Nothobranchius furzeri: one gene and its partner. The protein of the gene in region 1 interacts with the protein of each later gene in a pairwise test. Links are inferred from orthologs where the notes say so. Each region holds a gene or a part of one and is shown on either strand. Other genes may lie near its edges.

What was found.
Region 2: the proteins of transcription elongation factor A N-terminal and central domain-containing protein (region 1) and obi1 interact in binary tests that used the Homo sapiens proteins (3 or more experiments, as listed by UniProt). The two-hybrid records come from large-scale screens. The link is inferred for Nothobranchius furzeri from reciprocal best matches to the Homo sapiens genes TCEANC and OBI1.

The regions. Positions count from the first base shown.
Region 1 is NC_091754.1:47,119,306-47,125,128, forward strand, and holds transcription elongation factor A N-terminal and central domain-containing protein, read right to left. Parts: upstream 2,635-5,823; 5' UTR 2,547-2,634; intron 2,482-2,546; 5' UTR 2,419-2,481; coding exon 1,504-2,418; 3' UTR 1,326-1,503; downstream 1-1,325.
Region 2 is NC_091749.1:40,138,936-40,144,812, forward strand, and holds the end of obi1 (ORC ubiquitin ligase 1), read right to left. Parts: intron 4,932-5,877; coding exon 4,840-4,931; intron 4,693-4,839; coding exon 4,471-4,692; intron 4,237-4,470; coding exon 4,148-4,236; intron 3,618-4,147; coding exon 2,306-3,617; 3' UTR 1,961-2,305; downstream 1-1,960. UniProt on the Homo sapiens protein: E3 ubiquitin ligase essential for DNA replication origin activation during S phase.

The DNA of each region.
Region 1 (5,823 bases):
CTCTCTTCTTCTTTTTTGTGGTCTTATGGCACTTGGCAAACAAGAATTTGGTGCATTACTGCCACCAACTGGATTGGAGTGGAATGACTACCAATCACTTCCTGTTTGTGCAATAGGAATAGTCCATTGTGGCATTAACAGAGGGGGTGCCAGCAGTCAGGGCTAGGGGGGCCCCCAACAGAAGGGGGCCCCAGGCGGCTGCCGACCTATGCCTAATGGTAAAACCGCCACTGGCAACAAATGAATGAGATATTTGCTGTCACTTTTTTGGGGTTTCACCCGATATCCAAGCTCTCAATGACTCACTTATAAGTGCAGCAGGAAGATGGTGGAAGCCACTAATGGCGTTTAAATAAACAGCTGCAAATGTAAAATCTCTGAAGAGCGAGACAGGAAATGATTCAGAGAATCTGATGAGTGGGGCTGCAGTTAAATAACTTCTGGTTTCACTTTACAACTAAAAGCAGTGCCTCAGCTCTTCAGAGGTAAATCAAAAACATGGCTGGGCTTTAAAGAGTAAATAACCCCCAAAACAACGTTTTTTTTTTTTGTTTATAAACTGTATAATTGGGTCTTTACAAATGTAATATTTCTGTTTCTGTGCATTTTTTGACATGTTTGTGTAAACTTGATTAAATCTAGATCTAGAAACATCTTAGGGCTGCCCCCTGTGGGTTGAACTGTGGCTACTGCATTTTAAATTTATGATTGACTGGGGCTGGTACAATTCCACGTCATCAGTACAGTCTCCTCCTACTCCTCCTCCCTCCCGCGATGGAAATTCCCCGCACTTGGCCATGCCACTCTGTGCCTCCTGGCAACGCCCACTTTCATGGCATGTTTCAAATCTTGACTAAGGGTGGAGTTACATTTTCTGATGGTGTGCAGTCCCTCTTTAAGGGAAGCTAAACTAAATACTTGACTTACACATTTATTTAATCCAGAAAACAAATAAAACTGTTTAAAAGCCGGTTTGGTATTTAGAATAAAGGTTGAAAGTTCTTCGTGAGGCTGGGACCATCTGTTCCTCTAGAGCAGTGGTTCCCAAACTTATTTAGCCGCGCACCCCCTTCTATGTCCCGACCATGTCGACGCACCCCCCCAGCCCCCACATCAGGGCATGGCTATATATATATATATATATATATATATATATATATATATATATATATATATATATATGTATGGTGACATATGACAGACTTCTCTGAGCTCTGCAGCCATTACACTTTTCACCTCGCGCACCCCCTAGCACCCCCGGGGGTGCGCGCACCACACTTTGGGAATCCCTACTCTAGAGGTTTAAGGGTCTTGTTTATGGAGGATGGAAGGATGGAGCTGCCCTGGGACACACTGGCATTACCAGTCCCTCTCACCACAACCAGTAGGTAAGGAGGATGAAGTGTCTTGTCACAACGACTGCGTCAGAATAACGGGGATGCAAATCTGCAACCCTCTGGTTTTGGGGATGAAAAATTAACTCCTCTGCCACCATCACCTGATTTAGAAGCAAACCCAGCCACTGTGGTACCACTGCTGACCACACCCCCTACAGGTCACAAATGTCATAGCGTCCTGGTCAATGCCTCCCTGCCTCACCCATGCAGGTAGAAACAGAGCACCCCTGGACACCTGTGTCACCCTACAGTCTGATCCTCCACACCGTTTGCAGTGGATCTTCTGCGTCGGCGTCCCCTCCACCCCTTGAGGAAGCTGTCTCTCACTCACACCTTGTGATGAAAACTCCTCTCTCAGCTGCCGGAGCTCTGGACTGGCCATGTCCTCCACAGACATCTTGGCAAAGTCCTGCGGCAGCAGAGAGCCACTCAGTAGGCCCTGGCACAGGTGAGGACTTTTGGGATTCCTCAGGTTTGCGACTTTGCTCCTCACACAGGTTTTGTATTTGAGTCTGCTGGTTTTGTGGAGGTCATGGATGTGCTTTTCAATGTCTTCAGCCAGCTGCTCCGCCTTGATCTGATCAGGAGGTTCAGGATGGAGGGCAGCTAAGAGAAGGTGAACGCATTTGGTCCTCACAGAGTCCGACAAAGCAGAAGTACCCTGGAGGGGACGGTCTGCCTGCTGTTCTGGAGCACGTACTCCACCATCTCCATCCACTTGGGCTGAAGAACCTGCAGGATCTTTTCTCTCATCTGAGTGTGTCCCTCCTGTCCTCTCACAGCTGTACTGTTTCCTCCACCTGGACAACAAGCTCTTAACCCCCTTCCTCACATTGGTGTCTGAGCAGGTCTTCAAGATTCCATAGAGGACTTTGACCAGTTCTGTTGTTTCCAGCTGCTCTGCTGTGATGTGAGACTTATCCAGGTCACCAAGGAGGGTCTGGATGTCCACGAAGCTTCGGTCTGCAGCCAGCTTCTCCATCTGGACAGCAAGGTGGACGATTTCCTTTGTGTCCATCATGGCTGCAGAGAATGTTATCTATTTTAGACCTTGGCAGGATGCATGTCTGTTATGTTTGATGTCCTAACGTAGATAGAGATGTCAGCAACACGCTTAAATACAGAATAAATGGGTTTAGACTGATTTACCTGAGCTTCTTCATGAGTTTCAGCTTCTTCCTGCTAACTGAGAACCTCAAACAAGGGAGCAGCCATATTGTTTTTGTCTTTCATCTATGAAACTAACTACATGCACCACTAGATGGAGCTGCTGACTCACTCACTCTGAAGGTTCAGCTGAAAGTCTTTCTGCATTTATGGGGAATAAAGTTTGTAATGTTTGATTTGTAAGTTCACCACAGTAGATGTGCTGCAGGATTATAGCTTTTGTAAAAGGATTCAGACGTGTGCATTTGGCTTCTAGGGGCGTTTATTCCCACAGCAAGCACAAACCCTTTCTTTAGACTACAATTCCTGAAGGTGTAAACACATATTTAATGATTAAAACACACTAATCCTTGGGATTGAGACCAACTTCATCATTTCTAGGTGAATGCAGCATGTTTGGACTCTGCATGCAGAAACAGGCCAAGCAGCCTCCAGACAAGAATCCAGGAGGGTATCTGGTAACAAGACGGGGCAGGCTCCTCAGCTCCGGAGCAATCATAGGTTATGAAGGCATGTTTGTGGTTTTAAAGTTAAGACCAGAGATTTTGTTGTACGTCAAACTGCAGAAGGGGCAGCTAGTTGTTATCCTCAGAGTGAGCCGCTTTAGAAAAGCTGCTGCATCGCCCAGAGAGACATGGGCTCACTGGATAAGAGAGCACAACTGATGTTGCTCCTACATTGGGATTGTGTAGCAAACTCTGCGTTTTTAACAGTGTCTCTATAAACAAAGTTGTGATTAATAATGTTTGTACTAACAGTAGATAGCTTTCTGAAAAGGCTCAGTTTGGTGAAATGTTTAACATTCCATAAAACTGGAATAACTTTGGGAATGTTACGATATTCCAATTGAACTTGACTCTTAGATTCGCCAGAAGTGCCACATTTTGCACGTGAAGTTTTCCAAGTGAGCATTAAACTGTATTCATGAAATGATGCTGCATGAACCACTTCCCTTGCACTAGCTGTTAGCAATTGTCAGTCCGGTAGAATGAAACTAATTTCTCTGATTTGAGGCCTTTCAGTAACCTGTCTTTAACTTCTTCTCAGAGACTGCCTTCAAACTGGCTGGAACACTAAACAACCGCCTCAATGAATGCTAGCTTCATGCTAACTGTTAATTAGCTGTAGCTAACTTGTCTTATGGGCCATTCCCATCTGTACCGGGTCGGCCCGGGCCGGGTAGCACCGGTCGGCCCCAGCCTGGCCCGGAAACAGTCCAATGGTCTCCTGTACCTCACAGCCATGACTGGTGTCTCTAGCTTCTCTAAATCATTTTGTTTCTCACACAAAGGTAAAACAAATAAAAGATGTGTAAAGTGAGGCAACTCAGCATGAAACTGGGGTTTATGGTAAGTTTAAATATGCAACAACAGAAATGCACAAACGTATAAACAAAGCTCTACAGCTCTGGGGGTAACATAACTGTCAGCGTGACATCACCATCTTAAACTTTATTTGGAATGTTTTTTTTTCAACATTCATGTATCTGGTGCCAGCAGAAGCATCAGCGGTATGAGGGAAAAGCGATAAAAGCTTCAGGCTCTTAAACAGCAGCCTTAAAGGAGGCTGGAGCTTCCAAGAAGCTTTTAACAGCTTTAATGTCTCAAGTTTCCAGAAAAAGGGGGAAGTGTGTCGGCCAGAGGAGTTATCTTTCATTTGGGACAGGAAATGTGCTATTTTAGACTTCTTGAGCTCTTTGTGGTTAGGGACAACTCCGAGTCTTCAGAGCAGTCCGGCCACACACGCCTGGAATTCCCAAAAACACGCAGAAGGACCTTATCAAGTCATTTCTCTGCCCGTCTGCACTTGAGGTTTCCTTCCTCATCAGTGAGAGTGGAATTTTACCAGCATGCAGGAGCACCACTCCCCAGTAGGGGGCGCTCTTGATTCTGTGCTGCTTCGGCTGCTTCTGACAAAGACTATGAGGAAGTGGGGTCTGTAGTCCCCGCCTTGCTCCAGCAGACCACGCCACAAACATGATGGCATGTTCGCCTGAACACACACACACACACACACACACACGCACACGCACGCGCGCGCGCCCTGGGGGATGCCTCTTGTTAAAGAGATCTACTTCAGTCATGACAGGTTGGCATGTCCCAACCAGGGCACATGTATCATAGTATGAGGTTCCGAAAGTGCCGTGCACAAGAAGAGCATGAAGAGGTGATTGAGAAAAAAACAATGACATTCCAACCAGCTTCTCAGTTCTGTTTCTCGGAGCTGTTTTTGGGTCATTTTGGTTCTGCTGAGGATGAGACGCAAAGTCCTCAACAGTCATGAGACCTGAAAGTGCTTTTATACAGGATGTTGTCCCTCCTGAGTCCAGTTGAAGACCACTTTGGACATGTCTCCTCCTATACTGTAGATGTCTAGAAACGATCTCAGATCAAAGACAGTGACATTGTGACCATGACAACAGAGTGTTTCTCTACTGCTGTCTGACTTAAGCCAGGTTTCAGATGCTAACATAAAAAAAAGTTTGTGGCTTTTTATGCAGCAGATGATCAGCTGTGTGTGTGTGTGTGTGTGTGTGTGTGTGTGTGTGTGTGTGTGTGTGTGTGTGTGTGTGTGTGTGTGTGTGTGTGTGTGTGTGTGTGTGTGTGTGCTGTTCCTTTCCCATCACACCCCCACACCTTAAAGACCTTGACGGTGATCACTCATGACTGGAGTGGAAGGGTTTTTCATTTTCCGCTGCCACCACATGGCCTGTGTGTTTTGACTGACACCCTGCTAGTTTCTAGTGCTCCTCTGCTTTCTATTTTGGCGCTAACAGACAAGGTGGTGTCACAGGCTTTAACTTTTACTGATTACCAGGAAATGAGACTCTCCAAACACGAGATCACTAAAAAGATGCCTGTTATGTCTGCAGCGGTGGAACATAATATTTGTCTCTTTCTGATAAACGTTGGTGGAAGCACTCTGAGAGATAGCAGCTCTTGTTGACCTGAAACATGCAGAAAATATAGATTTTTTTTTATTCTGAAAGACACAAGTGTGCTCTGTTTCCACAGCCATATGGTCCATCCTGAGGACAAAGAGTTATCATTGATTCATCACATTTGTTTTCCCATGAACCCCACCCTACGAGACAACTGCTGGGCCTTGTGGGAAATCCCCCAACAGCTTAGCAGCGAGTAACCACATCCTCCCTTTAGCATTAGTGCAACATCCAGTGAACATTTATTTAGAATGAGATCGAAGTCAGTGCTCAGATTTACACATGGAGTAATTATACACAACCTGCAGCTGGGTGGCA
Region 2 (5,877 bases), on another chromosome or scaffold:
TCGCGAGACACAAACTGCCAGAACAGTGAACTGGTTGACAGATAAGAAAAAAACGCTCACAGGGCAAGGAAAGAACATCTGGAGAGTAGATGTTTTTAAAGGAGCCTTTCCACAGGAGTCTGTGACAGTCCCTTTTGGACTCAGTTCTTTATTTAGACCACTGACCAGAAGGGGAAATAGAAAGGATTTTATGTAATGCGGACAACTTACAAATATTTATATTACCTGACCTATTGACCAATATTTCACTGCATATTTTAAAGCTTGCCAGCTTTACTGCCTGTTAAATTAGACAAAGAGGAGGAGGCAGCGGTGGGTCCTCCACCTGATCATTAAAGTCCATCATTGCCAAATGAGAGCTACACAAATTGATTTAATACATCACTGATCATTTTGAAGTCTTCACCTAAATTTATCTCAATGAATTAACACATCATTAATTTTAACCACAATGGTTATCCAATTAAAATTTCATGCAGCAATTAGAGGTATGTGAAATATACACAATATCCTTTCATTTGCATAATAAATAATGCACTAACTTAATGTGTGTGTGGTCTATTACATGGCTCCTGACATGCTTTGGTCCAAATTAACAAGCAGTGTCATTTCTATTTTAATACCAACCAATTAATAACTGTCACAGTTAACATTGAGAAACTGTTAAACATTGTTTTCTACATGAAAATGTGGACAATAGATATGGCTCACCAAAGAATATCTTCATTTCTTCAAGTCTTCGTTTTTTGTGAGTGTGTGTGTGTGTGGGGGGGGGGGGGGGTAAATGCCATCTTTTATATAAAAATCAAGCATATGCTGTCGAGAGCCCACCTGGAGCGGGTACTGCATGCCTTTGTAATTTCTAGGCTTGACTACTGCGACTCTCTATATGCAGGGTTGTGTCAGTCAACACTGCATCGCCTACAGGTTGTGCAGAACAGCGCTGCCAGGTTCCTGACTGGGACCAGGAAACGGGACCACATCAGTCCGGTTCTGGCCTCTCTGCACTGGCTTCCGATTTTCCTCGTCTTTGTTTATCATTTCTTCCAGAGTGGTGCTCCCCCCTATCTGGCCACTCTCCTGAACAAACATTCCCCATCACGTGCTCTGCGCTCCTCTGACCAAGGCCTGCTCGCTGTCCCTCGGTCTAGGTGTCGTACCCGTGGGGACCGGGCTTTCTCAGTCCTAGCACCGTTACTCTGGAACCAGTTGCCACCCTCAGTTAGGCTGTCCCCTTCTCTGCCAGTCTTTAAGAATCACCTAAAAACACACCTCCTCCGCTTGGCGTTTCCAGAACATGTTTGATTATGGCCTTCTATTATGTTGAATCCATTCCAGTTTTCATTGGTACACTCAATCCATCCACTCAATCCAAATGTGTTTCACACTTTTGTCCTTTACCAGAATGTTTCATCTATCTTGTAATTTCCATTATGTATTTTGTAATTTGTGTTTTGTAATCTGAATTTCTTTTATTGTTGATTTATTCAATATATTTACATACAACTGTACAATGTTCAGCGCTTTGGGCTTCCTGACAGGGTTGCGGAAGGCGCTTTATAAATAAAGCTTTGATTGATTGATTGATTGATTGATATAGTACCTCTCAAGATCAAAATTAATCATGAGATGCTTTACAAAAACAAAAAATTTAAGTATAAAAAGATTTTTTAAAATGATTAAAAATATGTTTAAAAGGAGAAAAGAACAAATAAATGTAAGTAAAGGGAGACAGAAAATTTATAGGAAAGAGGGAAATCAATGGATCGTGGGAAAGGCGGAATGAGAAAGGAAGAAGGAGAGGGTAGTGGCAAAGGTCATGCAAAAGCCAGGCTGACCTAGTGAGCTTCAGCTGCTTTTTAAAGGAGACCACTGAGTCCACTGATCTCAGGCTCAGGAGCTCCAGAGTCTGGGGGGCCACAGCAGTGGCCTCCAGGGGGCGTCAGGGAGGTTGCATTGCTTTATTTCTTTATTTCTTAACAAAATTTTCCATGTGTTAATTCATTATAATACAGCACATGATAGTCATAATCCAGCAGTAATCTTCAGTGTCCTAATTGCTAAATAAAAGGAAATTACAGACAAGCAGGCAGGTAAAAAAGAGCGAGAGGCCCGACGGTGAATGAGCTGAGATGTTGCAAGTGCATTTTAAAAGCTATTTAACTGTTTTCCTAGCTTGTTCCATATAACACTACAGAAGACACGTGACAATGGGTTACACCCTATAACATCACTGTTATTCGTTTATTTCCCAACAACATATAGCTAGAATCTAATCTAAGATCACGGGGGTTGTATGAAACCTTCACATGAGCTTGGACAGTTTGGTGGGACTGCTGGAGTTAAAGGGGCTGTGAGACTTCCTCTTTACTGGCTGGCTGCTGTTCAGAGCGTGTCTGTCTCTTGTGTTTACAGGCTTACTACCAGTGCAGCCAGAGGAAGAGGAAGTTACGTGATCCTGATCTTGGAGTTGGGCCTCTGGACTGAGGGAGCCAGAGGGGACAGCCTCGACCTGATCCAGATGATCAAACAGCAAATCAAAAGACAGCTCATCAGTTTGAGAGGGCTCTCTGTGCTCAGTGGAACCAAACCTACAAGGACCACCCTCAACAGAAAAATTATCCTCAGATCCACTTGGAGCCTCTTTGGAAATCAAAGTGTCGTCCATGTTGCTACCCAGATCCTGTTGTACGTCCTCACCTTGGACTGCAGGTTTACCACCAGAGCCGGACGAGGAATCTGGGCAGATTTGAGATTCTGGGGTGAGGGTGCCATTCAAGTCTCCTGGAGGAGAGGAAGTCAAGGAGAGCTGTGATCCTCTGCTACTGGAACTTTCTCCATCGAGCATCATGGAGTCCAGCTCTGATATTTTGTCCAGGTAAGCTGCATCCATGGAGGCCTCACTAGATGTCTGGAAGCTGTTAGGGTCTTCCCTTATAGCATTAGCAGATGTAGATTCCTTCACTGAGTTGTCTTCACTTGGACCTGGATGCCAGGAGCCCCAGAAGATAGACTTTGAGGGGTCCATGTCACTCAAGCCTTTGGGAGATTTCTCAACGCTGCTGAATTTGTTCCCCAAGGCTGAAGCTGTCTGTGATGGACTTGGATTTTCCTCAAAGTTAAGCTTTCTCAGATGAGGCACAGGTTTAAATGCAACTTTCTTCCCGCGGAGGCCTGGACTTCTCAGGGTCAGGGATCGGAAAGCAGAAGATGGAGTGGTGGGAAGGAAATCAGAGGAGGTGCTTTCCAAGTCCTCCTTCTTCTGCTCTCCATTTGGACTCTTGTCTTCCACAGATGGCTGGAACACCAAACTGGGATTTCTAGAAAATGTTCGAAACTCGACCTCTGGGTTGCTGCAGATGGACATCCTCTCATTGTCACTCAAACTTCTCATCATCATGTTGAATTTCTGCTCGTGTTTGAGAACATCTGCCCCACTGTTGCTGCTTGCAAATGTATCCTGGACTTCAAGATGCTTCTTCTCAGATTTCCTGACTTGAGCTTCCAGCTCATCGATGTACTGGTCGCTGCGCTCCAGAGCTCGTTTGAGGTGTTCCACATCACGCTCATGCTGTTGAATCTTTGATTCCAGCGCTGCCACTGTGTATCGACCAAACCTGAGGACAGAGCATTTTATTTTGAAATCACAACACAAAGGTCAAATGGCGTGTCATGTAGTCACAACACGTTTAGTTTAAATATCTTATGGGAGCTAGAAATCAAAAACAAGCCATCAGTTTCACCAAAATGCAAAAATCTTAAGACAGGAAGTTACAAGCAGGTGTAATTTTTATTAATTATTAGCAGTGTTACTTCTTGAGGCTGATCCAGTGGAGTGTTGCTCATTATTTGACTGACAGATAACCGTATCGGTTTACGTTATATTTAATCTTAAAAATATCAAAACTAAATAGAAAATTCTATAAAATAAAAATGTTTTAACTATTCTGATGATTGAAGTACCAAAGATGCTGCCAATGCACAAATCACTGTCTTGCTCTTCTTAGGATTAAGCTGTTGCAGATAAATGGAAACGATAGAGAATTATGTGTGGAAAAGAGAAAACTGCAAGGCAAAAAGCCCAAAAAAAGGCTTCAAGATCAAAAAATGAGGCGAACCTTTGATGGCATTTCACAAAAATACTTACTTCTGAGGAGACCTGCTGGCCACCTCGGTCTTGAGCCTCGTGTTCTCGTGTATGAGGTTAACATTTTGAGATCGTAAGGACTTGTTGGCCTACAAAATAAAACACACAGACTCATTAGAAACTAGATTATTTTACGAATTGATTTTTAAAACCACTAAAAATGTCCTAGAAAAGAATGGAATAGTAAGTTATTTTTATGTGTGTTTTTTTTCTTCTGCACACAAAATATTTGGGTGATCATCCATTCAGATTGACCAAGTGGATCCAAACCAAAGACAGGTCATGTTGAGCGTTCTCTGTAGAACACACTCCAGCGTGTGTACCTCTCTGAGCTTGTCCATGTCCTGCTTTATTTTATCACAGACATCTGTAGCCGTTTGCAGTTTGCTCTTCCATTCCTCCATAACAAATGGAGAAACCTTTTTGTCATCTGGTTGGGCTGAATTCACGCTGCAGGGATGCAACGCAGTCTTCAGCTGCTCTTCCAGATGTAGATTTTTTGTTTTTAACTCCTCGTTTTCTCTCATAAGCCCGTCGATCTCCTCCTGTCACAAGAAGTTTGCAAAATTACCTTCTAACCACCAAAATAACAGCTTGTTGAATAAAAATGCATACTGTGTTTAGCTAACAAGGCAAAAACAAAGACATTTAGCTGAATTCTGAACTAAAATAGAGCAAAAAAACTTGACAACCTCATACTCCCGTAAAAGCAGCTCTCCCCTGGTTTTCCTGAGACAATTCCTCATGGAAGGACTATCCAAGTAATCACTCTCATTTGTCCCTCCTGCAGCAGAAGTACACAAATAGTAAAACATTAACAAACAAAAACACATTGGTAATATTTCCAGCTTTCCACCCCAGATATGAACAATATTAGCAGGATTTTTATATTTTAAATTGCTGCCCTTTCAAATCAAGTCTGGTGTTAACTGAGATATCAAAGAATTGTGCTAAAAACATTCAACTTATAAAGTTTCTGTTCCTGCCTAAAGCTTCCCAAGACTTCAGAGAAGCATTTTCCCTCCTCTGATCTCACCCACCCTTTATGAATGTAGTTGATACCTGAAACACCCATGGCAGACATGGCTAAATTTTCAGTAAGTCATCTTAGAGCTATTTATATCTACACTACACACTGGACCATTATCGATCGATTGAAAAAGTAATAGATCTTAAAACAGAGAAGCTTGTGACCCTAGAAAATCACTAAAGAAATATGACTTGTTTTAAACATTTGGCAAGAGGAAACCTGCTTGATTTCGAAAGATCAACAGAACACAAATCAGGTTTGCAAAGTTGCATCTGAATAAACCACAAGCACTGGAAAGCTATGACCTTTACCAAAGCTGAGATGTTCGGTCACAAAGTGGAGCATGGGGTTGATCATTTGAACTTGTTTTTCTTAACCATGAAAATGAAGTTGACCGTGAGCTCTAGATCAGTGGTTCCCAAAAGTATTTAGCCGCGCACCCCCTTCTATGTCCCGACCATGTCAACGCACCCCCCAGCCCCCACATCAGGGCATGGCTATACATACATATATATATATATATATATATATATATACATACATATATATATATATATATATACATACATATATATATATATATATATATATATATATATACACATATATATATATATATATGTGTGTATATACTTATAGCTCATAGTCTATGACCCAAGGGCTATAGACCTTGGTTTAACTCATTTAAGTCTAACCAGTA